7 linked regions of the Coturnix japonica genome follow. The protein of the gene in region 6 purifies or fractionates together with the protein of the main gene of each other region. This does not show direct contact. Links are inferred from orthologs where the notes say so. Each region holds a gene or a part of one and is shown on either strand. Other genes may lie near its edges. The genes, in order: MLF2, UBAP2, AMBRA1, RASAL2, SGTA, BAG2 and DNAJB4.

The links.
Region 1: the proteins of BAG2 (region 6) and MLF2 purify together in Homo sapiens (affinity purification with mass spectrometry; 4 studies listed by BioGRID and IntAct, with this or other methods). This does not show direct contact. The link is inferred for Coturnix japonica from reciprocal best matches to the Homo sapiens genes BAG2 and MLF2.
Region 2: the proteins of BAG2 (region 6) and UBAP2 purify together in Homo sapiens (affinity purification with mass spectrometry; 3 studies listed by BioGRID and IntAct, with this or other methods). This does not show direct contact. The link is inferred for Coturnix japonica from reciprocal best matches to the Homo sapiens genes BAG2 and UBAP2.
Region 3: the proteins of BAG2 (region 6) and AMBRA1 purify together in Homo sapiens (affinity purification with mass spectrometry; 3 studies listed by BioGRID, with this or other methods). This does not show direct contact. The link is inferred for Coturnix japonica from reciprocal best matches to the Homo sapiens genes BAG2 and AMBRA1.
Region 4: the proteins of BAG2 (region 6) and RASAL2 purify together in Homo sapiens (affinity purification with mass spectrometry; 3 studies listed by BioGRID and IntAct, with this or other methods). This does not show direct contact. The link is inferred for Coturnix japonica from reciprocal best matches to the Homo sapiens genes BAG2 and RASAL2.
Region 5: the proteins of BAG2 (region 6) and SGTA purify together in Homo sapiens (affinity purification with mass spectrometry; 3 studies listed by BioGRID and IntAct, with this or other methods). This does not show direct contact. The link is inferred for Coturnix japonica from reciprocal best matches to the Homo sapiens genes BAG2 and SGTA.
Region 7: the proteins of BAG2 (region 6) and DNAJB4 purify together in Homo sapiens (affinity purification with mass spectrometry; 4 studies listed by BioGRID and IntAct, with this or other methods). This does not show direct contact. The link is inferred for Coturnix japonica from reciprocal best matches to the Homo sapiens genes BAG2 and DNAJB4.

The regions. Positions count from the first base shown.
Region 1 is NC_029516.1:69,478,777-69,482,771, forward strand, and holds the start of MLF2 (myeloid leukemia factor 2), read right to left. Parts: upstream 2,801-3,995; 5' UTR 2,646-2,800; intron 2,508-2,645; 5' UTR 2,482-2,507; coding exon 2,432-2,481; intron 939-2,431; coding exon 812-938; intron 730-811; coding exon 694-729; intron 1-693.
Region 2 is NC_029547.1:6,914,978-6,919,273, forward strand, and holds the start of UBAP2 (ubiquitin-associated protein 2), read right to left. Parts: upstream 2,801-4,296; 5' UTR 2,674-2,800; intron 1-2,673. UniProt on the Homo sapiens protein: Recruits the ubiquitination machinery to RNA polymerase II for polyubiquitination, removal and degradation, when the transcription-coupled nucleotide excision repair (TC-NER) machinery fails to resolve DNA damage. May promote the degradation of ANXA2.
Region 3 is NC_029520.1:21,106,387-21,109,451, reverse strand, and holds the end of AMBRA1 (activating molecule in BECN1-regulated autophagy protein 1), read right to left. Parts: intron 2,027-3,065; coding exon 1,536-2,026; 3' UTR 501-1,535; downstream 1-500. UniProt on the Homo sapiens protein: Substrate-recognition component of a DCX (DDB1-CUL4-X-box) E3 ubiquitin-protein ligase complex involved in cell cycle control and autophagy.
Region 4 is NC_029523.1:5,256,396-5,260,500, reverse strand, and holds the start of RASAL2 (ras GTPase-activating protein nGAP), read right to left. Parts: upstream 2,801-4,105; 5' UTR 2,114-2,800; coding exon 1,516-2,113; intron 1-1,515. UniProt on the Homo sapiens protein: Inhibitory regulator of the Ras-cyclic AMP pathway.
Region 5 is NC_029543.1:2,303,230-2,306,039, reverse strand, and holds the end of SGTA (small glutamine-rich tetratricopeptide repeat-containing protein alpha), read right to left. Parts: intron 2,506-2,810; coding exon 2,416-2,505; intron 2,203-2,415; coding exon 2,088-2,202; 3' UTR 2,079-2,087; intron 1,775-2,078; 3' UTR 501-1,774; downstream 1-500. UniProt on the Homo sapiens protein: Co-chaperone that binds misfolded and hydrophobic patches-containing client proteins in the cytosol. Mediates their targeting to the endoplasmic reticulum but also regulates their sorting to the proteasome when targeting fails.
Region 6 is NC_029518.1:79,197,086-79,201,157, forward strand, and holds the start of BAG2 (BAG family molecular chaperone regulator 2), read right to left. Parts: upstream 2,801-4,072; 5' UTR 2,679-2,800; coding exon 2,503-2,678; intron 1-2,502. UniProt on the Homo sapiens protein: Co-chaperone for HSP70 and HSC70 chaperone proteins. Acts as a nucleotide-exchange factor (NEF) promoting the release of ADP from the HSP70 and HSC70 proteins thereby triggering client/substrate protein release.
Region 7 is NC_029523.1:16,608,729-16,612,228, reverse strand, and holds the end of DNAJB4 (dnaJ homolog subfamily B member 4), read left to right. Parts: coding exon 1-112; 3' UTR 113-3,399; downstream 3,400-3,500. UniProt on the Homo sapiens protein: Probable chaperone. Stimulates ATP hydrolysis and the folding of unfolded proteins mediated by HSPA1A/B (in vitro).

The sequences.
Region 1 (3,995 bases), on a different chromosome or scaffold from region 6:
TGATTCCTTTTTCCCTTCTTCAAGTGGCTTCTTGTTCTCGTTTAGAGCAGACCAGAACTCACACGCAATGTTATTACCCTTTGAAGTCCAACTGTTTGTATTATTAATCCTTTTCTGAACTAGAATGATTCCAGGATGCTTCATTGAGTCAATCCCGCAGAGCAAGGCACCTAAAGCTGCTGGATCTGGAATAACTTATTTCCCCTGTATTACTACAATAGATAACTGAGATCAACAAGCTCCAGGAACAACATTTTCCCACACATCCAGCAATTCTCACTCCAATTCTGTTCTCTTGAATTACTCTTTTAGCTTTTCATTCTGCAACCATTTTCAAAGGAAGTTCAATTACCGCCTCTGCCTAATGACGGCCGAGTCTTTTCCATGTGTCATCACAGTTTCACAACAATCTCCAAACAGATCCACAGCTTCTTCTTAGACACATGAGGTTAAGAGACCCTCCGTTCTTCCTAGATATCACCTATCTCAATTCCTATGAAATACCATGCTGTAACAGCTTTATGGATCTCCTCTGTTCAAGGTGCCCGTATAAATGGACTCCTCTAAAACAGCTCCACAGACTACACTGAAGTATGAGGAGAAGTGGAAGGTCTAAAACCATACAACTCAGGAATAGCAGTGCAGGAGGAACCAGTTATCTTCAAACTTGACACTGAAAAACAGAGGACTTACCATGCCCAGCATCCCAAAGGGTGAAACAGCTCCCGCCTGTTGAGACAACAGAAAAACAGAATAAACGATGATCTTGCAACAGCCAAACACCAGATACTCCTCAGAGCCCCTCTCTTACCTGCATCCTACGGCCAGCCTGGCGAGCCCCAGGCGTGGTCCCATCAGTGATACCAAGCAACGGGCCAAAGCCAAAGCTTCCAGAAAGCATGCGGTTCATGTGCTGCCGGTGGATAGCAAAAGGGTCCCTTTGGGAAAGATTGAGAGAACAGTGGTGAGAAAAGGATGACAGAACACTGAGTCCTGTATAATACACACATTCTGACTCGGAGTTTCTCTTATGCAACTGTGACTGTATTTTCTAAGCTGAAAATCCAGAAGCTCAAGAACACACACAGTGTTGCGTATGCTAATCCTTAGGGCTGGATCCCATTTCTTCTCTTGTGACTGAAAGTATTATGCCACAGAACCTCTCTTACACACTAACTAATGTCTATTCAGCACCAGCTCCATGCTCTGTTCCCACTAATACTTTTGAGCCAAGCTCCAAAACCTCACTGCTCTACAAGGTAAAAGATCTGCAGTCCAAGCGCTACCATCATCTCATACTCATTTCCTCTTGAGCCATCAAAACTCTTTGCATTAGCAGCCTCTGCTTTAAGGACATACTTGTACACGCTGGAGAAGCAAGGAGGGAAAAAGTAGAACAGGGACAGTCCCAAATAACAGCAGCCACGCTAAAGAGCCTGAGAAGCATCACAGCATTTCTCTGCACATCTGGTAGTTCTGCATTCATCCCTCCAGAGCACAAACAACCTGAGCAGCACGTAATTTCCTGAGATCACAAAAGCACCGAGCACAACCCAATACTTTCCTGTTTCTGCTGGGAATACTTTGCATAATAAAAGCGAGACTCATAGCTGCCACATCAGTGAGAACTGTACACTCACTCTGTGACTGAGACTTCCAGGTCTCCTCTCCTACTCATTGGTTTATGGTTGATAACATTCTTATAATCAACTTTATAAGCAAGAGCAGGGCTTTGTTTTCCTACATATATTAATTGTAACTAATGTATAGCAGTGCCACACTTCATACAAACTCCTACCATATAACACTCTTGTCCTTAACTGCTTTGGCAACAACCGCCACCTCTCATCAGTTGCAACCCATTTCTGAGCAGGGGATAGAAATAAAAGCAACCAGTAAGAGGAACCCCAAAGCAAAGCATCATTGGGACCCACATCAGGTTTTCAGGCTTGTGTTTTAAAACGCCTAGAATTCTCCTCATTTAGTCCCTCACAACGTGACAGCTCCCTCAGCAGCCTCCTCCAGCTCCACTAATGAATTCTTCGGCGGGGTAGAAACGAACAGGCACAGATGATGTTATCAAACCTTACTCGTTATACGCAGCAATCCTTAAGCACAGCTAAAGGTCACAGAATCACACAGAATCACAGAATGACCCAGGTTGGAAGGGACCTCAAGGATCATGTAGTTCCAACCCCCCTGCCTGGCAGGGCCACCAAACATACACAGGGCCACCAAACATACAAAAGGTCGGGCGCTCCAGCGCTGCTTTCCTCACACACTCACAGTGTATTTGGCCTACTTTATTCAATGTGTCCTCAAAGCCACAGTGGTTCGGCTGGCACGAAACAGGCCGCTCCCATCCCCCCATGACCCCCCTCCCCTCCGTGCAGGCCGTGCCGCAGCGCCCCGGCCCCTCGAGCCGACTCACATAGCGAACATGGGATCCTCGGGCTCGCCGTCCCTCATCAACCGGAACATGCTGCTGCCCTGGCCGGGGGCGGGCTCTAAGGAGGGAGGGATGGAGGGATGGAGGTTGAAGCGCTGAGCAGGCCGCACGTCGCAAAGGCGGCCGCCCCCAGACCCGCACCTCACCTCCCCACCACCACCACTACCACCCCCCCCGGCCCCAGGCTCGCCCCCACCTTGTGCCCCTTCTCCGTGCGGTGCCGAGGGGCAGACGGCAGGAAGAAGACGAAGAGCAGAAGGATGCACACACGGGCCGCTCACTCCCGTGCTCCCATGGCGGCTCGCAGCCCGCTCACCCCTTCCGCTCCAGCCGGCTCGCCCCGCGCATGCGCGCACAGCGCCGTGTGTCGGTGCGCTCTCGCCGGGCAGGAAGCGGCGCTCGGGCCCGTGTCGGGGCACAGCGCCCCCTGGCGGTCAGTGCGGCCCGAGCGCCGCTATGCTGCTCTATGGCAGCGGGCCGCCAGCTCACAGCGCACCCGTGGGCACCGACACTCACCCGGAGCCGCTGCCAACACCACCAAGGCATCACTGCCCCCCTCCGTGAGCCTCAGTCACACGTCTGACTGTTCCAGCATGGAAAAGCGTTTCCTGCTCGGCGTGTTCAACCCTGGGCGGGCACGTGGTGCATTGGGTGTGTGCAGACGGGCAGGGAGAGAGCAAGAATGGAAGCGTTATTTATGGGACTGGGAGCAAGGCTGCGATAAAATGACCTGCTTTCCACGGATCCCAGCAGCCATCCCACCCCCAGACATGGCAGGGCTCCTAAAGCTGCTTCCATACACAGCATCAGGCATTACTGCCTCCCCAACACAGAGCAGGAGTGCACACTGTAACCTATATGTAACCTATGTAACCTATGTAACCTATGTTACCAGCAATGTTACCAGTTAAGCAAATCTGGCTCACTGGTGGCTGAAGCCCCAGCAACACAGACAAGCTCCCCCTTGTTAGAAACGCAGAATCTGTCATAAATCAAAGCCATTACCCACACTGCCTCCCTTCCTTTTTTAAAGCAGTCCAGGCAGAGGAGAATGGGGGAAGAGGAGAGGCTGAGCCAAGGGCAAAATGGAAGCGAGGAGTGATGCCACTGCCCTGAGCTCCACCTTCTGCTGCTGACTCGCTGCCATTCAGCATCCCTCCCCCTAACGTCCCCAGCGCTGTTAGCTGCGCACTCAGCCAAAGGGGCAACCACAGCGTTTTCAAAGCAAACTGAATATCACGTGGCGTGGGTAAATAAACGCTATGTTTAAAACAGAAGGATACAGGTATGCGGCCAAAGTTCACAATCTACTGATCGGAGTAGAAGCTGCAACGAGGATACAGTGTGAATAGGAAGAAGCAAGACTGAGCCCTGGAACAGGCTGCCCAGGGAGGTTGTGGATGCCCCGTCCTTGGAGGTGTTCAAGACCAGGTTGGACGGGGCCCTGGGCAGCCTGATCTAGTAAAGGTGTATGTTTGGTGGCCCTGCCAGGCAGGGGGGTTGGAACTACATGATCCTTGAAGTCCCTTCCAACCCGGGTCATTCT
Region 2 (4,296 bases), on a different chromosome or scaffold from region 6:
AAGCAAACAGGATGCATTGGTCTACAAACCAGCAGACTGTATCAGGGAGAAAAAGAAACAAAATAAATAAAATGTTAAGATTCAGCAGACCACCAACACTAAAGTATGGTTATTACTTGTATTTCCTCACACCTTCCCTCAACAGCTTTGAAGTACACAAATGTAACACAAAGTCTCTTCCAATCTGGCCTTTTGTAAAGGAGACAGTCCCTCAGCTTCTACCAAGGATGTCAGGGCTGCTCCTGTGCTCTTACTTAGCACGAAACAAAGATAAGAAGATCCATATTTGTGTTCTCTCTTATTCTTTCACAAAGAACCTGGTCCAAGCACTGGTACTAACCATAACTGAAAGTACAAGTAAACATTACTATTAATACCAATTATTAACGTAATATCAATATTCCACCATGCAAACATCTGTCAAGTACCATCAAACAGCATATTGTTCTGCTATGAGCACTATCAATAGGGGGACACCAGCAACAAATATAAAACATACTAAGAATGGTGTCTTATGAGGAAAACATCACATAAAAGTGCATGGAATAAAATAAAATATCCCAAAAGCAGAGCAAAGCAAAAACAGAAAGAGCAAGTTACAGTAACCAACAAGATTCTGTTGGTGGGATTTTCCTTGGCTTCCCCTACATTTTAGTGGTAAATCTGCACTTCCAACCTTGAAATCCTCTTGCAATCTCAGAAGCTTTCCTGAGGACTAGTCAAAACAACAGAAGTGGAACAGACCAAGGTTCTGAACTTCTGTGCTTTTGTCCGGGGGCGGCGGGGCCCCGTCTGTCCCTCCGTCCCTCAACAACAACTTTTGTTGTTGTTGTTGTTTCATTATTATAAACACTTTAAGTCAGTATGCTGATAAAATTGCAGCTAGAACAAAAGAGAACTGAGCATTCCCACTCCTCCCTCCCCCTTCCAACTTACAAAGACTGTTGAGGTTATAAACAAAAAGCATGCCCATTTTCCAGACTACACATCAAAATCAGTTCACACCAGTTAATCCAGTTTCTCCATGTAACACTCCTGGAGCCCCAAAACATCATCAATGCTGCTAAATGATTTGGCCTATCTTACTTTAAAGTTACCTAGCATAAGGTTAAAAATAAATTCTTTAAGCAAGTTAGGTCAAACCACCACAGAGAGATCAGGCTCGGGTATAAATAGTGAGTCACTCAGGTAAAAATGCAAACCCAGATTCCATCACAGGCCACGATATAACCGAGAGAATTGCTAGAAGGGGCTGGTAAATACTTAAAAAACAAACAAACAGGTTTCCAAAGGCTTAGCTGATGCTGTTTTCTGTGAAGGGCTCCATTTTCAATGGAAAGTGTTGCTCTAGGCCTGCACATCCTCCCTCTCCCTTCACTTCACTCACATCCAGCTCATTTCTCTCCTTGAAAACAAATTAAAAAGCCACTCTCCCGCCAGGACAGCCCCTCCATTTCAGTAGTGACTGCCACCCCAGAGGGCACTGCCTTGATCTGCTGCTTTATTATAAACCTCCATCACTTGCTCAAATTGAGATGACTAGAGCTTGATCACTGCTCCACGCTTGGCCCTTGTGAGCTTCCCCTCACACAGCTCAACACAAAGCCACAACCTGCTCTTTCACGAAGCTCCTCTGAACACGATCAAGAGGACTGTGAGCACTCAGACACACAGCTGTATGAGGCTGTAAGCCACAACACCTGAGCGACCGCAGACACCACAGCACACCTTCCTACATCTACAGCACCTTACAGAGCTCAGATCCAGCAGGACTCCAAGGCGCACCAGATCCCTCTATACACCCAGGTCCTTCCAGATGGGTTTCTCCAGGTCAACTTCCCTGCTGTAATTTCCTTCAGCAACAACAGCAAACAACTCTTATTATTACTATTAAGCGCAATATGACCAAGCTCCATAGCAAAGCCCTGACAGACTTCCCACGCATACCCAGGCTCACAGGGGCCCGTTCCCAGCCCTGTCCTCACACAACCCGCTGCGGGCCGTCCCGAGCACAGCCCCATCCCTATGGAGGCCCCCAGCGCGGATGTGGCATGGAAGCACAGCCCGGCACGGGGCTCAGACAGCAGACATCCATCCCACCAACGCCTCCCCACACCCCGACCCCCGAGGCCTCACCACGGGCCGCCTCCCAAGGCGGGAAGCAGCGCACCTCAGGGCCGAGCCGCCGCCTCACCAGGGCCGTGTGCCCGGCGACAGGGGGCGGGCCGCAGCTCCGGAGCAGCGGGCGGTGTGGAGGGCGCCCACAAAAGTAGGGCAGAGCCGCACGGCCCGGCCGGGCCTCGCCTCCCCCCGCCCACAGCGCTGAGGGACGGACCGGGCCCCGCCGCCCCCGGACAAAAGCGACCGTTGGGCCTCGGCGCTGCGAGGGCGGAGGGTGATGGAAGGGGGGGGGCACGTAACGGCCGCTCCAGAACGCCGGGGGTGTGAGGGGGGGGGGGGGCGGCGGGTCCACAACGCCCCACGGCGGGTTCACAACGCCCCACGCGAGACGCGGCTGCCCCGTACCCCTGTACCCCCATACCCCCATACCCCGTACCGCCGTACACCGTACCCCATACCCCGTATCCCCGTACCGCCGTACTCCTTACCCCATACCCCGTACCCCGTACCCCATACCCCATACCCCCGTACCCCTTACCCCGTACCCGGTACCTGCACAGCGTGCTCACAAAGCAGCAGCAGCAGCGGCGCCCACCCGCGTCACGTGACCGCCCCTCGCGCCGCTCCCTCCTCCTCCACTCCACGCGCGCGCGAGGCCGCTCCCCCGGCACGTGACGTGACGTGACGTGACGCGACGCGACGCGACGCGACGCGACGGGACGTGACGCGCCGCCGCGCCCCCCCCCCCCCCCCCCCCCCCCCCCCCCCCCGTCCCGCCGCCCCGCACGCACCAGCAGCGCGCCCATCCGCCGGCCCTTCCGCGGCACCACGTGACCACGGCGACGGGGCACGGCCTCTTCCTCGTCACGTGACCGCGGCTCCGCCTCCCCGCCGGCCGGAAGTGGTCGGCCGGAAGTGGACCCGTCCACCACAGCGCGGGGTGTCGGTGTGGATGGGGCGCCCCTCGGTCACGGCCCGGTTCACTGGGTTCCTCAGCACGTCTGGGCTGTAATGGAGACCCTGCATTGAGCACAGCATCAGGCCTGGCAGGCAGATCCTCCCCATTCAGATATTTAATTCACTCTGTTCTGCTCATGTCTGCGCTATATCTGCGGCCTCCCCAGTGTTACCGTTTGTTTATAAGGGATTTATCCGGTGAAGGTGCTCATCCCCCCGGGCCGTGTGTTTAAACTCACCTCAACCTCGTTTTTCATAGTCACCCATTGCAGATGTCTTACATAGTTGGCTGGAAACCATCGTTTTAGTCTGTTGGTGTTGGCCAGTAACATTGAAGGGGGAAAGAATGCTAATGTTAAGAAGGAGAGAATGCTAATGTTAAGAATATCACCCTGCTTCTGATTGAGAAGTCTGCTCTACTTCTGCGTTATTCTCTAAGGTCCCTTCCAACCCGCACAAGACTATGAGACTATGATGCTATCATTATAGGCAATAATCAGAAGGGTGGAACTACTGAAAGTCTTGAATTCAGTGTGAAAGTGTGCCAAGAGACGTTGCCTTTCCAGGGCAACAACCAGGGATTGCTGCTGCATTTAGGTTTGAGGTGAGTCTCCAAAGATCCTGTCTGGAAATGGAGTTATATACAATAGTGTGCTCAATTGTGTTAATGTGCATCCCAAGGCACAGCACCATTCAGCAGCATTTGTTCTGCCAAAGGTGACTGAGCTGTGGGTGCCCTTCTGGCATATATGGCATTCACTGATTCATGGTGTTAAAGGCAGAAGGGGTGATGATATCATTGTCTACTCCTCATATAGACCAGGTCATTAAAATTCCTGGCATTCACGGGCCGCATTAGTCTGTTACATCTCAGCATCACCCTGCAAATTGATGCTGGACTGCCTGATGAGCCCTTCAGCATCACTTCATACCCAGAGACAGACCCTCTTCTGTAGGTGCTGCCTGCAGCCCTTGGTCCAGGTGTTCTCACCTTGACATTTGAGTTCATGGAAGAAGATGACATGTTTTCATGAGACTCAACTCTGGACTTGCTCTGTACAAATACATTATCCCCATTATTGGTTTATTTTCCTTCATTTTTTTCCCCACAAAATGTTTGCAGTGACTCTGTATTCACTGCAGATCGCTGAGGACACTTTAGCAAACCTGAGTCTGATTCAGATCCTGCAGGGCCCCACTTTAAACGCTCATTTTGGG
Region 3 (3,065 bases), on a different chromosome or scaffold from region 6:
GAGCAGAAGCACAGCAGCTGCTGGCAGGTGATCTGATGGCAGAGGAAGCATCCCTCAGTGCAGACAGTGGTAACAGACGCTGGGGCGTGCATTCCTTTATCCAGGACAGCCAGACCCTGGATCTCTTTTCTGCTTCAAGAGTTCAGCAAGACAGATCCCTCTCTGCTTGTCTAAGATGGACAGAGCTGTTACGTACCATTTTGAACAGGACAGGGGAAATGCTCCACTTTCTCTCTGTTGCAGTACCTGAATGATAGGAAATGCAGAAGTGCCTGCTCATCCCCAGACTGGTTGAAAGGCAAATTGCAATTGAGATTCTCTATTCCTCCCCTCTGCTGCATAGTTGAAAGCCTTCCACTCCAACGCTGAGCCTGCCATCCTTCCGGAAAGGGAATGACCATTATCTGACGTTTGTAAGCTACCCTGAGTTCCTGAGCTGGATGTACCTATCTCCCAAAGTCAATCCCATAGAGATCCATCACACAAATGAAGACAGTAGGTCAAGCAAGGGTTTGTCATATTTTAATGACATTAATCTTTGGTGTTTCCCTCGTTAGCACTCACACTCTCCCCGTCCTTCCTCCACAAACCTGCTAGGGATGGAGAGTTACAAACGAAAAGGAAAATCACATTTGAGACTAAAAACAGAATATCAGAGCCTTGATTTCTCCACTAGAAACTACATGTACAAGGTCAAGATTTCACATGCAACACCTTACATCACAGACCCATACCTCACACCCTGGCCTGGAGCTCAAAGACATTTCCTGCCCCCTGCCAAGGAGGTGCAGCTCAGTCCTGGCACCATGAAACCACTGGGATGGCTCATTCATGTTAAATGTTGGCACAACTTATGAACTGCATCCTGACTGGAGAGCAGTAGCCCCTGTCCCTCTATTCATCTACATAGCAGCTCTGCTTAGGTTCCTGGCAAGTACTAACCTAATTTCTAAGAAGGAAAGATCCCCACGTGTAAGCAGTTCCCGAGCCATGAAGGTTTTGATGAATCCTAGCTCTTCCCAGAAAAGACCACAGCACAGGACTGTGTCCTGGAAGACTCCTCTGCTCCAGCAACAGCGCTGGAGCATCACGCCCAGGTTTGCACAGGAGGGCTGCCAGTCTCCAGAAGGATGCTGCAGGCCTGTTTCCCTTCACTCTGCTGATCAGCCCCTATGCATAAATGGGCAGGAAAGAGGAAAGGGGAGAAGCATTACAAAGAATGACACTGACCAAACTGCAGGGTTGAGCTCAGGGGATCCCACACGACTTCAAAATCTGCATGGAGTACAGCCAGTATTGTTTATATTCCTGTTCTTATTCAGCAGTGGGAATGTTGGAAGTTAAGATACTATGCTTTCTTGCCCATGGCTTCCTCGCAGTTCTTATCCATTGCCACTCACCCAGGACATAGAAACCCTCTGAACTACCAACATCCTGTTGGAGCCACATGTCCCTACTCTTCCAGCTTCCGGCCAGCTGTGAGGTACAGGTCTCTGCTGAGCAGTACAAGGGTAGCACCAACACACAACTCATTTCTACCTGTTCCGCGACTCCCCACTGGTGCTGTCATTACTATAGAAGTTGGTACTGTCAGGAAGATGGTTATTATTAGTTAGGTCACTGTATTCGATTGGTCCCTCAGTGTCCATGGAGGGCTGGGCCTGCTCCGGCAGGTCCAGGTCACCAGTGCCTCGTCCTTCACTCCCACCAGAAGATGTCCGCGGGCTCAGGCCGTGCTCCGACAGCTGCATAGACTCTGAAAGGATCCGTCCCTCCAGCTCAGATGCCAGCTGCTGTGAGGTGGACTGATGTGCTGATGTTCCCTCAGCTCCAGTGGACTCCGCACCAGTCTGAGAGCTGCGGTGGATCCGGTGACTCACTATGATGTTGTTGCCAAAGCCACCCATGGACGCCATGGTGGTGCTCTGCTCCCGCTGCACCACAGCAGTCATGCCACCTTCTGCCATCAGCCTTTGTATCCTGCTCAGGGCATCCTCCCCACCGGCCCCGTATTCTGGACCTTCACCTGCAAAGAGAGAGCAAAAGCAACTTTGGTGCATCAGGCAGACTAAAGCACCAAGAAAATGCATGCACAATGTCACTGAATAACAGGGCACGTGTGCTGGGACAGAAGACAGGCTTTGCTCCAGTGGAAGTTCAGTATTTCATTTCTGTAACTTTCCTTCAAATGCCAAACAAATGCAGTGCCCTTAGTCAAGAAGTCCAGTGTGTAGGTTCCTGCTCTCCCCAACAGGTATTTTTTCGAGGAACATCTCTTAAGGTTTTTGTTTACTCTCCCTCAAACTTCCCCTCATAATCTGGTTGTACTGAGCTCTGAGGGAACCACTGTCAAATGCCTCTGAAAAAGAAAATCTCTTGGAAAAATAGCCCATGTAGATTAAAACCCACAGCAGGAACATTCAAGCCCAGTTCTGTTTTTCACCATTCTCCTTTTGCTACAAACCTTAACCAGACCGTCTGGGGAAAACAATCAGTAATCATGAACTGCCAGAATCATTCCACAGTGGGATCCTGACGATTCTTATTAAAGAGATAAATCTCACTCCCAGCTCCATGAAGCTATCACAGTGCTGATTAGAGGAGGAGAAAACCACGAGCTCTCCTGGCACCAAAGAAATCAACACAAATGTCAACAAGGCTAAGATGTAGGCTGAAGTTAAAACACAACAAAAACCAAAATGCCACGCTGACTAGGAAGACAAAACACCTGGGACTGTGGGATAGAGATCGTGTCTCCAGTATGGGAGCTGGGATATTCAGCACAGACAACACCATGCTGCTGTAGATGTTATTTTTTGTGGAAAAAACAAGATAGTTAAAGCTGTTAACATTTATGCAGTCAGTCGGTGACAGCTTACTCCTTTTATTCTCTGTCTCAGTGGTATTTGCATCAAATACCATTGACTTCCTCCACCACAGAGTATGCCTAATTTCTTCAAGCAAGCCTGCTGACATACTGCCCTGCTGTAGAAACACAGCAGATATTAAGGGCAAGCTTAATTCTCACAAGCAGAATAAGTCCTTTTCTGCTAGGAACGTAGCAA
Region 4 (4,105 bases), on a different chromosome or scaffold from region 6:
CTCTCACATATAACCCTTCTCTGCCCTTTACTTTCCATGAGCACCCCAACAACTTAACTGACCAGCATTTAGGAATGATTAGAGAACCATTTGTTCCAACACAGCACCAGAACAGTGTGAAAAAGGAACTACAGCATGTGCTGCCCTTTAAAGATTGCAAGTGTTTAATCCAAAATACTTCTGTCATATAGAACACCTTCCCAAAATAGCTTGCTGATAAATACATGGTGGCAGAGACCAAACCAACTGTCCAAAGCAACAGAGCAGCTTGCAGTAATGCCAGTTTCTCAGGAGGTCTCAACAACAGGAGGAGCCAAACCAACCCCTTAACGAGATGCGTTCAGAAGCAAAGTAGCACCGTCTCTTCATTTTTTCCCCATGTATTTCACAAGTACTGACAAGCCAAATTCCACCTGAGTGAGGTACTGGAAGAATACAAAGCAATGAACACATGCAGCGACTTCAAACAAACCCTAGGAGACTGATGGAGATAATCCTTCAGTGCTGCTGCTCTATGCTTGTTTTGCATTGTAAACCAACAAGGCTGCTCCCAATACCAAACACAGCCTGTAAATGACACCACCATCACTCAGACCCACTACCTGTGTGGACAAATAATAACAGCAAGCTGACTTACTTATTGTTTTCTTAATAAGGATGGCTCGTCCAGCAGTTTCAAGTAGGTCCAGATGTTACCAGGTTTTAATATGATAATCTGGAGGACTCTGGAGAGCACAGAGGTTTTGGAGAGGAGGAAGGCCTTGCTCCCCTCCCCCAGCACCTCCTTGGTCACTCAGATCAGGCTGGCATCCCACTAGAAAGCTCCATGGAAGACCAAGAGAACAGAATTTCTCCCTTTCTCCCATTTTTATTACATCTATTTTTTTCCTGCTTGATGAGTGTTGTTAACAGCAGGGCAGATTTAAATGGAATCTCAGACTGGCATCTTGCTGACCTCAATCCCAGCTGGCTAAACCTCTGTAACACTGCTGCCCTTGGCATCTAACAGAGAGCAGACATCAATTTAGCTGATTGACTGTAAAACTGTGAATCTGGTATGAGGAACTAGATCCATTCCACTGCCTTGCACACTGGATAAAAGACCACTTTATTTCCCTCTCTCTTCTCCTAGTACTTCATCTACAGTAGCAGGCTTGATACATCCATCAGCACACAACTACTCCTCTGAGGCTGCTGTGCTCACAGGACTGTATGCACCACACACACAGTTCATTTTGGAGAGAAATGCTTCTGCTTCCTCCAGAGACATCTGTTTTAACGGGACCTTCAGGTTTTTAAGCGCATGCCAAAACATCACGCCACTTCTCTATCAGGAAAGGCCTTCCCCCCCCCCCCCGTCTTTTTCTTTAATTAAGGCAGAACAGCAGAAGGTTGCAAATCTTATGTTACCAAACAGCAAAGTTCAAAACCGGTTTGAACAACTATGACACGACATGTAAAATAACTATACACACCTGTAACACAAACAGAACTTAACAGAACACAGTCTATTACCTGTGCACGGGTCAATTTGCCTATTGTCTGTTCTCCACTCCTCCAGTGCCTCACTGGGGGGCTGCTCCCCTCTTCGATTCATTATCTTTGAAAAGCCACTTGAGAGAGTTGAGAAGATGCCACGGACAAAATAGCTGTGCTGCTCACCATCCACAGAGCGTACTGACTGCAGAAAGGGCTTGGCACTCCTGTGTGCAGATTGCGGCACAGGTTCAGACAGGGAACGGTTGAAGGGAACCCGCAGTGATCTGGTCCTTGCCTGGAAGAGCATCTCCGTTGAGTCTTGGTGGAGATCCTCGGCGCTGGTAGCATCCATGCTTGCAGAACTCTTGTCAAGACTCGAATTGTTACCTTCCCCTCTAAGGCTGCCAGAGTGTGCTCTTTTGCTTATCCTCCAGGGAATACGGGGATGCGTTTGCCACCTGTACGCTCCAAGTGCTTTGTCTGGTTCCAAAGCTGTTTGTTTGCTCACCTTCTTGCTTCTTATTTGGTGGTACCAATGATAGTCCTTCAAGGCAGCAGCGCCAGCATCCTGTTCTGACAAAGACCTTCTAAAGGTCCTGGGAGAGAGACTGTAATACTTTTTAAAAGCACTCATCTTCCAGCTCTTGAATTCCAGATCTTAACTTGCATCACTCATCACTCAGGAGTCACATAGCTGTAGTTTCTGGCTCAGCATTTTAATGCCCAAATCATCTTCACTGCTGTGACTGAAGGATAGCAGAGGTTCTTCCTGATGAGCCAGAGCATCAATCCCAGCAATTCCTACATCTCAGCAAGGAGGACAAGCCCTCACCTACAGCAAGCTGCTCTCCAACCATACACTCAGCCTCGCTACGCCTGCTGCTGCTTCCTGCATTGTTGCAGCTCTGCACCGAGCTCTCAGGAAATGACTAAAAGAGCCCAGCCATGAAAACCCACAGTGCTGATCTGCACCAATCACACTTCACTTTTTCGTTTGGTAGACATTAAAGATTTGGTTAAACAAAAGAGAAAAAAAAGAATGTGAAAGTAGAGTCACAGCTTTAGGGTGACAGCAAAGTCCCCAAAAAAGTGTTCAAATTGCAATGTTCTGCTGAGGAGCCATGCACATTATGTTCTTCAGTTAAGTAGCAATGTACATCAAATAGAGCAAGACACAACATAAAGGCAATCCTTAGAGTTTATATTTACCACAAGCACCTCGCATCACCCCAGAGTTTCCTTTTAGAGAGGAGTAAAATACTCAGAGTCATCACAATTGGGTGCTGGAAGCTTCACAGAGCAAAGGCGAGGAATGGAGTAAGGAGAAGGAATGCTGCAACTTAATATAGTGAGAGTGTAAATACACCAAAGGCAAATAAGTAAAGGGGAGGAGAAAGAGCAGCGGGTGGGTGGGACTTCAACCATCCTGCACTGGAGCAGAGGTTGGGAAAGCCTTGAGGCATTATCCTCCAGCCAACAGAACACGATAAAGAGTATCTGTCTTTCTCCCCCCCCCCCCTTCTTTACTTTCATACATCTGGTTGGAATAAGGGTGGACAAAATGCTCCAATCTGCTTAATAGAGAAGGGAAAAAAATCCCCTCGCCTTCTCTACAATTTAAGAAACAGCTGACTGCTTTAAAATCTCATAAAGAAAATAGCTGCTGGTGAACTCAGATCATGCTTGCCAAGTTTTAGACCAGAACACTTAAATCTCAAGTCTACTAAAATCCCTGAAAATAGGAGGTTTATAATGGAAATGCTGACAGACCCTTGGCAATCAAGTAACAATGAAAACCACTTCTCTGGTTAAATAAAATGATAATCTGCTCTGGCAGACCAATAAAGCTTAACTGACCCGCTATGGGATCCTGCCTTTAAGCTTTGACAGCATTCATCAGCCAAAGTACACTCCTGACAGCTGCAGATGCAAAACTTCCTTACTTTTGTATGTGTATCAAAGAGGGTGTCACCACATGGAGGCTATTTGAAGCCGAGACACTGCATTACAAATTCTGCATCAAAACCACTGAAGCTGACTCTCCTTCTCCATTGGAAGTTGTGCTGCTCAGCACAGGCCCTTAATGGTAACACATACCTAAACAAAAGCTTTGCTGCAGTTTCCATACAGGGTAAGGATTCTCCCAGAGGCACAAGGCTGAGTGTGCCCAGCATGACGATGAGATGGAAAGCCCTTGGTGCTGAGGCAAAGACAGTGTTGAACACCCAGACTTAGGCTATTCCTGCTGTTACTCGGTCACTGACTTCCAGCAGTGAATCTTGGTTTTCTCGTAGAGCCTGTGGTCACAAAAGCAGCAGCAGAGCTTTGAACAAATGCTTTGAATTAGCCAGTCTGGTAAAACAGGCTTTATGGAACTTTAGAAATAAGAGTAAGTAAATCTGACAGATGACGCTGTGGTTCATTTTAATGGCACAAGCCACAATCTGCAGAGAAAACTGAGAATGTGGGATAGGTTTCTGGTCAGCCCTGCAAGACTTGCACAAGGTTTCCACTAGCACATCTGCACCAACTTTTGGGAGCACACAAGGGCAGGAGAGGACAACACAGACAGCTGGTGCAGTAGCTGAAGTCTTCCCAGGATCTGTTTGCTGCAGATTTCCAGCAT
Region 5 (2,810 bases), on a different chromosome or scaffold from region 6:
TATCCCATAACCCCCCACATATCCCATAACCCCCCACAGGCCTCAATCCCCACCACAGCCCCCCCTCACCCCCAGTTCCCCACTAACAGCCCTCAACTCGCTGCTACCTCAATAGAGACCCCCCTCGGACCGTCCCATCCCCCTCAGGGCCGGCTCCGACCCCTTCAGGACCGACCCCCGTTCCCTCCCATCCCCCCCCATCCCCAACGCCCCCCACTCACTCTCCGTTCCCCTCCTGCGCCCCGTCCTGCCTGCCCCCGCGCAGCGCCCGCCCCCTCAGGCGTGCGGCGCACTCCTATTGGCTGAGATGATAATCACAAGCTCCCATTGGCTGAGGTAGACATCAATCAGCCCGCCCACTCCCCGTTAGGGGGGTGTGCAGCAGAATGGAGTCCGCCGGAAACACGCAGCGCGATGAAAGGTTCCGGGTTGCTCCGTTGGCAGCGCTGTCCGCTGTGCTGATGGAGCCGGATAGTTCAATCACTGTGATAAGAAGGGGATAGATAGCAAAGAGTGTCCAAATAGTTTATTCTTCACGAGTTTACATGAACCACAGATTAAATTTACGGAGCATGTACAGATCTGTTGGTTTCCCTTGATATTCAACATACCTGCTCATTCGTACCACCAGGTCTCCTATATCTCCCATTCAATCCTCAGCCATCCAGCTGCCCCCATGCCCAGCAATAGGGCCCCATACATTAGAAAACCCTTTAATACAGCCCTATAGCTGATCCCAAAGCCTCCATCCCCATCCAGGATGCTGTGGGAGGTGGGAAGCTGCAGGTATCCAGCAACAAGGATCTCCTCCATCCTCCCACATTGAACCAGCAGCCCTTTCATTCTCTATTTCCATGTATTTCCTTCTATATCCAAGGAGCATTTGGATTCCTTCTGCTTCTTATTCCATCCTTCCTTCTCTTTACTCCTATTATCAACTGGGTTGGTTACTTACATGCATCAAAAAGCAAAAGAGAAACCTTTTAAACACCGAAAACATGATATCTTTCCTTAATGTCCACCCGACTAGTTCACAGATTGGCTCATTCCAACACTAATTACTATTAACACTAAATGAGTTCTTGTCAAGGTTGGGGATGGACCCCAAGAGGTGTAACTGGAAACGCTCGTTCTACCTCATCAATCCCAACCCATCCAATATAATGATGGGAACCTTAGAGAGGCAGCCATCGGATCCTATGTGTGTGAACAACACAACGTTGCTACAGACCTGAATGAGTAACATCAAGAGAAAGCCTGTCCTTGGAGGTAAGAAGATCCAGTGGTCTCCAATGTCACTGTCTTGTAAGTGGCAGGAAGATGGAGGGGAAGCAGGATGGAGGTGGGACTCCAACACTTCTTTGAAGTGTAGGCAGGAAAGCAAAGGTGTCCTGTAGTGAAGAGCTCATCGTTCTTCAAAAAGGGGTTAAAAAATGCCCTCCAACGTAGCAAAGACCATAGAAATGTAACAGCGTCGTGAATGACTGAGTCTCTTTAGAAAGACTGTTTGGTGCTGGTTTGGTGTTTGCTGGATCTTCCAGAAGAAAACTTAATGGGAAAGGTGGAGGGGGAGGAGCAGGACGAAGACTGGGGGAAGAAAAGTGTGAAGCTGGTCTTGAACATGCAGGTCATAGGAAGGATTTTGTGTTGGGGGTGGGTTTGTTTTATCCCCCCCCCTCCCCTCTCTCCCCTTCTTGGACACTTCCAATTCAAATGGCACCACGCACATGGCTTCCAGTTTGTAAAGCAAAGAAGGTGAATCCCACGGACTGCACTGCAGAGACAAGAAGAGAAGACATTTGTGAATTGAGTTTATGAGTAAAGACAGCAACCCCAATTCAACATCAGAGACCTATAACATCAGCAGCCCCCTTTAACTGCTAACACCATTCATCTGCCAGTCACAAAGCATGAGGGAGGTCTATTCAAAGCTCTGCAGAGCTGAGCCTTGCGTCTCCCCAAGGCACAGCAGCAGCAGAGAGCTCAGTCTGTATGGAGGGGAAGAGAAACTGAGCTGCTAAGTGAAGGCACAAGGCAGATATTGCAGCACAACACTGAGATCCTCCCCGCAGCCTCACCTGTAATGCTCATTCCTGCTGATCTTCATTGCTGGCACTTGGAGTTCGACTCCTGATCTGGCTTCGTAGCTGTTCTATTAGTTCAGGATTCTGTTGTTGCATCTGCTGAGCAAACTGCTGGCCCCTGCAGGAGAACAAGCTACAGTTACTGTGTCCTCACACACCCATAGGGCTATGGAATTCATCCCAGGTGACTGCCAGAACCCTGCTCTAACAAGCAGTTCACGTTACAGTGCAGCTTTACTCAACCCTTAACTGAAGTTTTTACTTTTGATCACAATATCTGTAAGTCTGTTTAGTGATTAAGGTCATGGAGAAGAGCCAGCTCTTTACTCACGCTTGTATGAGGCTGGCAAGGTCATTTGTGGAGGGGCTGGTGCCTGCTGCTCCCATGGGGTTATGGCCACCAGAAATCATCCCAGACATGCTGTGGAAAGAAGAGTCATTGCTCAGAGTAGAAAAACACACCCAAATCTTTTTTGTTTGATACTAAAAGGGGAAAAGAAGAGCAATTGTATCATTAAGCTGCATGATATGCAGAAGTATTTATAACAGCTTCTTACTGTACTGACAAATATTCCTCTCTCCTTGGTGTTATGCTTAATTATTACACTGCTCCTCCTCACACAAGGTATTTGATAGCTCTGCACCAAATGAGGTTTACTGACAGCCTCAACATTGACTCATGGCTATCAGTGCAGGGTCTGCAAAGCCCCTTCAAGTCTTCAGGCT
Region 6 (4,072 bases):
GACAGGTAGGGGAACGTGCTGAGGAGATGCAGGCAGGCTTTGTCAAGGTAACAGTGTGGGTTCCTACCACTAGGTATTTCAGTGACTGACTGACTTTAAAAAAAAAAAAAGAGAAGGAAGAGAAGGGAAGAAAATAAATCGCCATGCGTGAATACAATCTGAACTGGCGATATATAGCCTCTGTCCACAGAGAAGGGGGCCTGGAAAGGTCACAAGTGGGTATCAGATTGACAGACAGGATTACACACCCAGTCACGCCAGCGGCCATTTCTGTGGGCTCCTGACTGCCCCTCCCCAGCTTGCTCTGCTGGCAGCGAGGGCACAGTGCCTAAGGCAGACCCGACTCTGGCAGCTTCCTCTCCTTGTAGAAGGCTGTCAGGTCTGTGCCTTACTGTGGTGAGTGCAGCAGTATGGGCTTCTTTCTGCTGGGTGAAAATATCCAATGACATCCTTATGGATGGAGTTTATCTGTTGCTTTCAGCATTAGTTTAATATTCCGCGGATCGTCTGAGCCTAAAAGAACCATTCTTCACTCCTGACTTGCCTTGGTCTGAGAGCGATGAGAGGTGCCATGCCGTTCTTCTCTGCATGCCATGGACATGAGCAGAGCATTCCCTGGAGGAACAGGTGGGCCGACCCACGCTTTGTTCCACCAGCAGAAACGTGATATCCGCTTTCCTGGGACAGCTGCAATAACGCATTAACCAGGGGCTTGCAGAAATAGCTCACTGCAGCTCGCCCGCTGGAGATGAATTTCCAGAAGGATGCAGAAACACTCAGTGAGGCCTCAGCGCTTTTTCCTGAAACACAGCTCAGCCAAAGTGCCGAGGCCAAGTGGGACCCTTCAGCCCGCTGTCCTCAGCTGCTCCTGCTGGGCTGGGGCTTGGAGTAATGAGCAGTGAGGAAAGGGCTGAGAAGAGGACAAAAGGTACAAGAAGTTATAAAGGGAAAGAAAGGAAACAAAAGCAGGAGTCTGTGTTTGTGCCTGTGCATCGTTAGACCTGGAACTACATGTCCATTTAATGCTGCCATCAGAACGCAGTGACTCATAAACAGCGGCTTCCAATGGCTGTGAGATCCCTTGACGCTGCACAGTAAGTTGGGGCAGTGGCTTGTCCTGAGCCTCTGCCAACACCTGCAGTGCGGGCCCAAACCTGGGCACCACTCAGCAGTAGCTCCTGGAGGTGCCTCAAATAATTGGCAAGAACTGCAAGGCCCAGGGAGCTGTGCACCCCTATGGCTGGTGGGTACCAGCCCACGGCAGCCCAGCATGGCCCTGGGGGAGGCAGGAAAAGGAGGGCAGCTGGGATCAGCTCTTCCAAAGGGATGCGGGGCCCAGCCAGCCTTCAGCCGCCTCATGGCCAAGTTCTTTATGAAGCCCCTCAACAACCCCATGGTGCACTATGGCACTCCTCACTGGTGGCATTCACAAGTCTTATCCACGGGGCTGCAGCTCGGTCACACCATCTGGAGAAGGAAGCAGCCCAGGCAATCTTCCTCCTAACATTCAAATGGCTTTAAAGTGAGGTGTCTTCACTGCTTACACACAGCAAAATTGAAACTTGGCTGACTTTAATCACAGCACTTTGCCCCTATTCTGCCATCATTCCACACTTAGAAATGTGCCTCTCTGGAAGGCCCACGGCAAGCAGGAGGGTTTCATTTTGGCCTTCGTTTCTGGCTAATCAAACTGTCTGCTTCGTGTCGGAGTTGCTCAGCACATTTAAAACCCACTTTTGCATACCCTCCTGCCTATCCAGCGCAGCATTTTGTAATTATACGCTACCACACTCCACCTGGATGCCAGCAGTGAGACCTGTTTGCAGGCACTGACTTTGTTTAGTCAAATTCGGAGAAGCCTGAGAAGAGCTCCGAGGAGATTTCATCAGTGAAAGGCTAACGCTGCTGCCTCCTGAATAATGCAAAGCAATGCACACAGAAAGGGAAAAACCCAGCTCTCGTGGGGCTCTGTAATTACAGAAAGACCTGGAAGCATCCCGGGTGGCTCTGAGAGCCGCTCAATGCACGGCGGGCTGTGTGGGACAGCAGCGCTGCTGGCTGAAGCGCGGTGCCCACCTCACCCGGGCAGCTCACACGGGCTGTATCCGGAGCTATTTACAAATAGGGCTGTGCCGCAGAGCGCAGTGCTGGCCGTACCACAGCTCAGGGTTTCAGAGCGGCAGCCGTCAGTGCGGGCAGCCCGGCGGGCACACAGAGGGTCTGCGAGCGCGGAACGTGGCCGTGCTGGGTGCCTGGGCTGAGAGAGGCACGGGGTGCACGAGCGTTACCGCGCTTCAGCTCCGAGCTTCCAGCAGCTCCCCACAGAGCAGAGCAGAGCAGCGCCTGGCGTTACACACATCGGGCCGGGAAAATCCGTTTCTCTTATAAAAACGCCTCTATTCCACGCACCCATGCACACGTCCCACGGCAGCGGGGCTCTCCCGCCGGGCCCCGCCGCCCCGCCGTCCCGTCCCTCCCGACCCCCCGCCGCCCCGGCCCCACCTGAGCTCCAGCTGGTCCAGGTTCTCGAGCAGGCGGCTGGAGCGGTCCGCCATGGAGGTGGAGCGGTAGAAGCGGCCTCGGAGCTGCCCGGCGGACGGCGGCTGCTGCTGCTGCTGCTGCTGCTGCTGGGGCGGCGCGCCCTCGCTCGCCTTGGCGCTGATCTTAGCCTGGGCCATAGCACTCGCCCGCTGCCGGCGGCGGCGGCCGCTCCCTTCCCGCGTCCCGCAGGCGGCGGCGGCGGCCGAATGCCGGCGTCCCGCTCATGGCCAAAGAAGGAGCCCGCCCGCCGCCTGCCCCCGCGGCACCCCGCCTCCGCGCCCCGCCTCGCGGCTCGGCCCGCCGGGCACCGCGGCGCGGAGCCGAGTCACACGCAGCGTCCTCAGCTCCCGCAGCCCTCAGGACCGCAGCGCCGCGTCGGCACCGGCGGCCTTCTTGCTCTGTTTCTGAAACTGGAGCTAAGGAAACGGGAGGGAGACTTTTAGTGTCTACACTTTACACGATGGCCGTTGTAGAATCACCGACTGGCTCGGGTTGGAAGGGACCTCAAAGCCCATCCGATGCCACCCCCCTGCTGTGGGCAGGGCTGCCCCCCACCAGCTCAGCTGCCCAGGGCCCACCCAGCCTGGCCCTGAGCGCCTCCAGGGATGGGGCACCACAGCTCTCTGGGCAGCTGAGTCAATGCCTCACCACCCTCCAAGTAGAGAATTTCCTCCTAATATCTATCTTAAACCTCCTCTCTTTTGATTTCAAATCATTTGTCTTTGTCCTGTCACTACTGGGCCATGATCTCAGTCTCCCTCCCTTTTATCATCTCCCCTTAAATACTGAAAGAATGCAGTGAGGTCTTCCAGACCCTTCTCCAAATCAAACGGACTCAACTCCCTTAGCATTTCTTTATTGGAGATGAGCTCCAGCCCTCTGATGATCCTTACGGCCTGCTCTGGACCTGCTCCAACAGCTTTGTGTCTGTCTCATGCTGTTAGTACAAAGACTGCAGAAAATTTGGAGGTCAAGGAAATTGGTCTGTGAGCAGAGCCAGAACTGAGCATTCTTAAAACCACAGTCCTTCAGATGATCCCAAGAACAGCACCTTGGTGCTAACGGACCCTGTCTCAGTGCAAGAAGTAGTCTAAGACAATACAGAAAGGCTTATGTTGGAAGTTGTTTCTGTTCTCCCTCAGTGCCCAACAGAACTGTATGTCCATTGAATGGTAGGAAACACAGCGGAACCACAGTCAGTAATGACGTTGGTGGGAGATCACATATCACTTCTCCACATGGAGCAGAACCTTCCCTTAGAGGAGCTCAGGAACCAGCTCCCACAGAAACCCCTTGATCCTAGAGTTCCAGCAGCTCAAGGCACACACAGGCTTTGCTTGCCATTGTTGTGACTGTTTAAAAAGGAATTTGCTTATCCCTAACTCCAGGTTTGGGCAAATACTGCATAGCTCCAGCAGCCCAATTTTTGGCACCCTGCTGAGAGAGATTGAGTTGCACAGAGATACTGCTTTGTGAGCCTGTCATGCTGCGGATCCAAATAGCTGTTTTCTCAGGCTTGTCCCTTCAGAGT
Region 7 (3,500 bases), on a different chromosome or scaffold from region 6:
CAAAAATCCTGACCAACGTGGAGACTTAATTATAGAGTTTGAAGTAATTTTTCCAGATAACATTTCTCCAGCATCAAAAGAAGTACTTAGGCGGAATCTTCCAGTTTCATAAAACGAGGACTATGTCAACTGTTTAAGCAGGACACTGGAAATGCAGAAGACTGGCAAGTCTGTGCTTTAAAAGTGCAATGTGTAACAACTAGTGGAATATTTGTTGTTTTTTTTTGTTTTGTTTGTGGGTTGGGTGGGGGGAAATACTGTAATGCTGCATGAGAAGAGTTAAGTACAAGTCATACAGATGACTTCTGCAGTATAATTTACAGGGAAAACCACTCATATTTTATATTAGATCTTCCTAATCAGAAAAGCTTACTCAGTATTTTGCTTAATATGAAGTGTAGTCAGTTTTTACAAAGCCAATGCATATTTCTGATAAAGTACTCAAGCCACTAAGTACTTTATTCCTTATTTCCCTACTCTATCTGTAACAGAAATGGTTTATATAGAAATTGGATGTGGTAGTAGAAATATACACGTGCAAATATTCTAAATTACAAAACAGTAAAGATACTATTTGGCTTTTTGCTTTCCACTGCACGAAGCATAGACTGGGAGAATTGGCTTGGTCTCCTAAATTGCCCCCCACTGAAATGAAAGTATTTTCTTTATTTCATCAGAATGCGAGGGATCTGCATTACAAGTCTAGGAAAGGACATGTAGCTTGAGGAGAAAGTAGACATTTGTTGAGTAGTTCCTCATGCTTCAGACAGTACAGCAAGAAAGGATTGTACATGTACAGCAAGTGTGGGCCCCGGTTGTTAAATGGGGTAGGGAAACTGGGTGGCAAGTAATGTGGAGAAGGCTGAGGTGCTCAGTGCCTTCTTTGCCTCAGTCTTTACCAGTAACACAGTCTTGACCAGGAGTCCCAGCCTCCTGAAACCAGAAGGAAATCCTGAAACAAGGAAGGGGTAACCTCAGTGGTGGTGAACCAACACAGAGGTGCATTTAAACTAGATGTACAAAAGTCCATGACACCTGGCAGGTTGCATGCAGAAGCGCTGAGGAAGCTAATGCCATTGCAAGGCCTCTCAATTATCTTTTGATTTGAGAATGGTTTCTATAGACTGGTAAGAAGCAAATATCACTCCTGTCTTCAAGAAAAGCTAGAGAGAAGATATGAAGAACTACAAGCCAGTCAGCCTTAATGCAGTCCCTGGGAAGATCAGAAAGAATATCTTCCAAAAAAGCATAATCAAGCACATGGAAGACAGTAATGTGATTTAAGGTCAGCATAGATTTACAAAATGGAAATCATGCAAAATGGAATCATGACTTGATTTCACTCTACAGTGAGGTGATTAGCTTGGTGGATAATGGGAAAACAGTCTGTGTTCTTTACCTTGACTTTAGTAGGCAAATTGGAAAAGTACAGGATAGATAGGTGAACAGTGAGATGAATTAAAAAGAGACTGAATGAGTGGGCACAGGGGTTTTGTTATCAGGGTCACAAAGTCTACTTGGAGGTAAGTCACTAGTGGTGTATGCAGACACAGTAATATTCAACATCTTTGTTAAAGACCTGGGGAATGGAATGGAATGCACATTCAGCAAGTTTGCATGTCATGCAGGAATGTGAGGAGTGGCTGATGACACCGTGTTGATTGTGCTGGTCTTAAGAGGGGCTTTGGTGGCCCAAAACAAACAAACAAACAAACAAAAAAATCATACAGAATGAAAAAACAGAGTTCAATGGGCAATGGGTAAAAATCTTGCACCCCGAAGTATTACCCAGGCACCAGTACAGTCTTGGGCTCACTGTCTGGAAGGCAGTTTTGTTGAGAAAGGACTTTGAGTTTCTGGCAGACAACAAACTGACCATGAACTAGCAATGTGTCCTTGCAGCAAAACAGACTAATGGTTTCCTGGGTTGCACTGGGAAGTTTTGTGAGCAGATTGAGGAAGGTGATCCTTTTTCCCTGTTCCTCATGGGTGAGGCTGCATCTGGCATACTGTGTCCTGTTGTGGTCACCCCAGTAGAAGGAAGACAGTGGCTTGATGGAACAAGTCTGTGAAGGACAGAGAACTGGAACTCTTCAGTCTGGAATGCAGAAAGCTCAGAGGAATCTGATGAATGTGTACAAGTACTTGGAAGGAGGGAATGGAAAGAAGGGAGCCAGACTCTTCTTAATAACACCCAATGTCAGGACAAAAAGGACAAAAGGCATGGAGACAACGTAATACACTTTTTTCTTTTAATACTGTGGTCTCCATCCCTGGAGATCCTCAATACTGAACTGGTCACAGCCTGGTCTAGTGACCATACTTGAGGAGATTTGGGTGATCACCAGAGGTTCCTTCCAACCTGAATGATTGTGTACACTCACTTAAGAGCCTCTTTCAATAGACAGTATTAAGGACTGTGTTCTGCAAATTAGGCTTAGCCCAAAAATGGGTGGTGCTGATGTGACAGCTTGAATCCATAGGAAATAGTTGTGTTTTGTTTTTTGTTTTTTTTTTTTTGTGGAAAGATGTATAAAGAACACTGTAGAATTGCATAGTAGAGCAGATATTTAAAGATCATGCTGATCTCAAGTTCAGACTTGGAAAATAATGCAAATTTTTACATTGAAGAAGGAGAATCCCAGGTCCTATCTAAGGAGAAGTCTGCTGAGGACATGATAGAATAGGAATTGCCCACAAACTTCTACGTGCTTGCATCGAGTCTTTTCTGAACACAAATATGACTTACTTATCTTTAGAGTTAAAAGGTGAATAGGGAAAAGGAAAGCCCTCTGTAATAGTCTAGTTTTGTAATATTGTAATAGGGCTGGTTCCCTGGTGAAAGAAATGCCTTGCAGATTTGTTCTTGTTACTTGAGTTTTAAAATATAATAGAGTGCTTTAGCAGCAGTTTCAAAGAATGCTTTTCTTCGTAAGAAGAAAATATATAGGATTTGCTGTTAGCCTTTTGACAGTGGAAACTCGGTAGTTACCTGCTTTGTTAGGTAGCTTAAGAAATAGCAGTATTAACTTCATATAAACGCTTTTCTGTGGGAAAGTAAATAATATGGAAGTTGGGATTCAAGTTACGATAGCTTTTTAATGAGCACAAAAAATTCCATTTTTGTTACTCAAAGAAATAAAACTTCTGGGAGATACTGTTCAAATAATTTTTCAACTGCTGATCTCTTTGTACATTGTCAGTTGTAGTCCTACAACTGCAGTAGATCTACAAGGAACAAAACAATTGCTGGAGCAGTATCACAAAGGGCAAACTTAGCTGCTTAATGTTTATGTGTATTGTTAACACTATATATTGTTTGTTTAAAGAATTCCCAATATGTTCTGTATTGCATTTCTTATGTGGTTTTTAAGTAAAAAGTGTAAAGTTGTTTTTTCATTTTCTCTCATCTTTTGTTATGATGGCAGATGCTGAAATCTATATAACTGAAGAAGTGTATCATTCTAAAATATATGTATGTTACTTTAAAAGTTAATGGC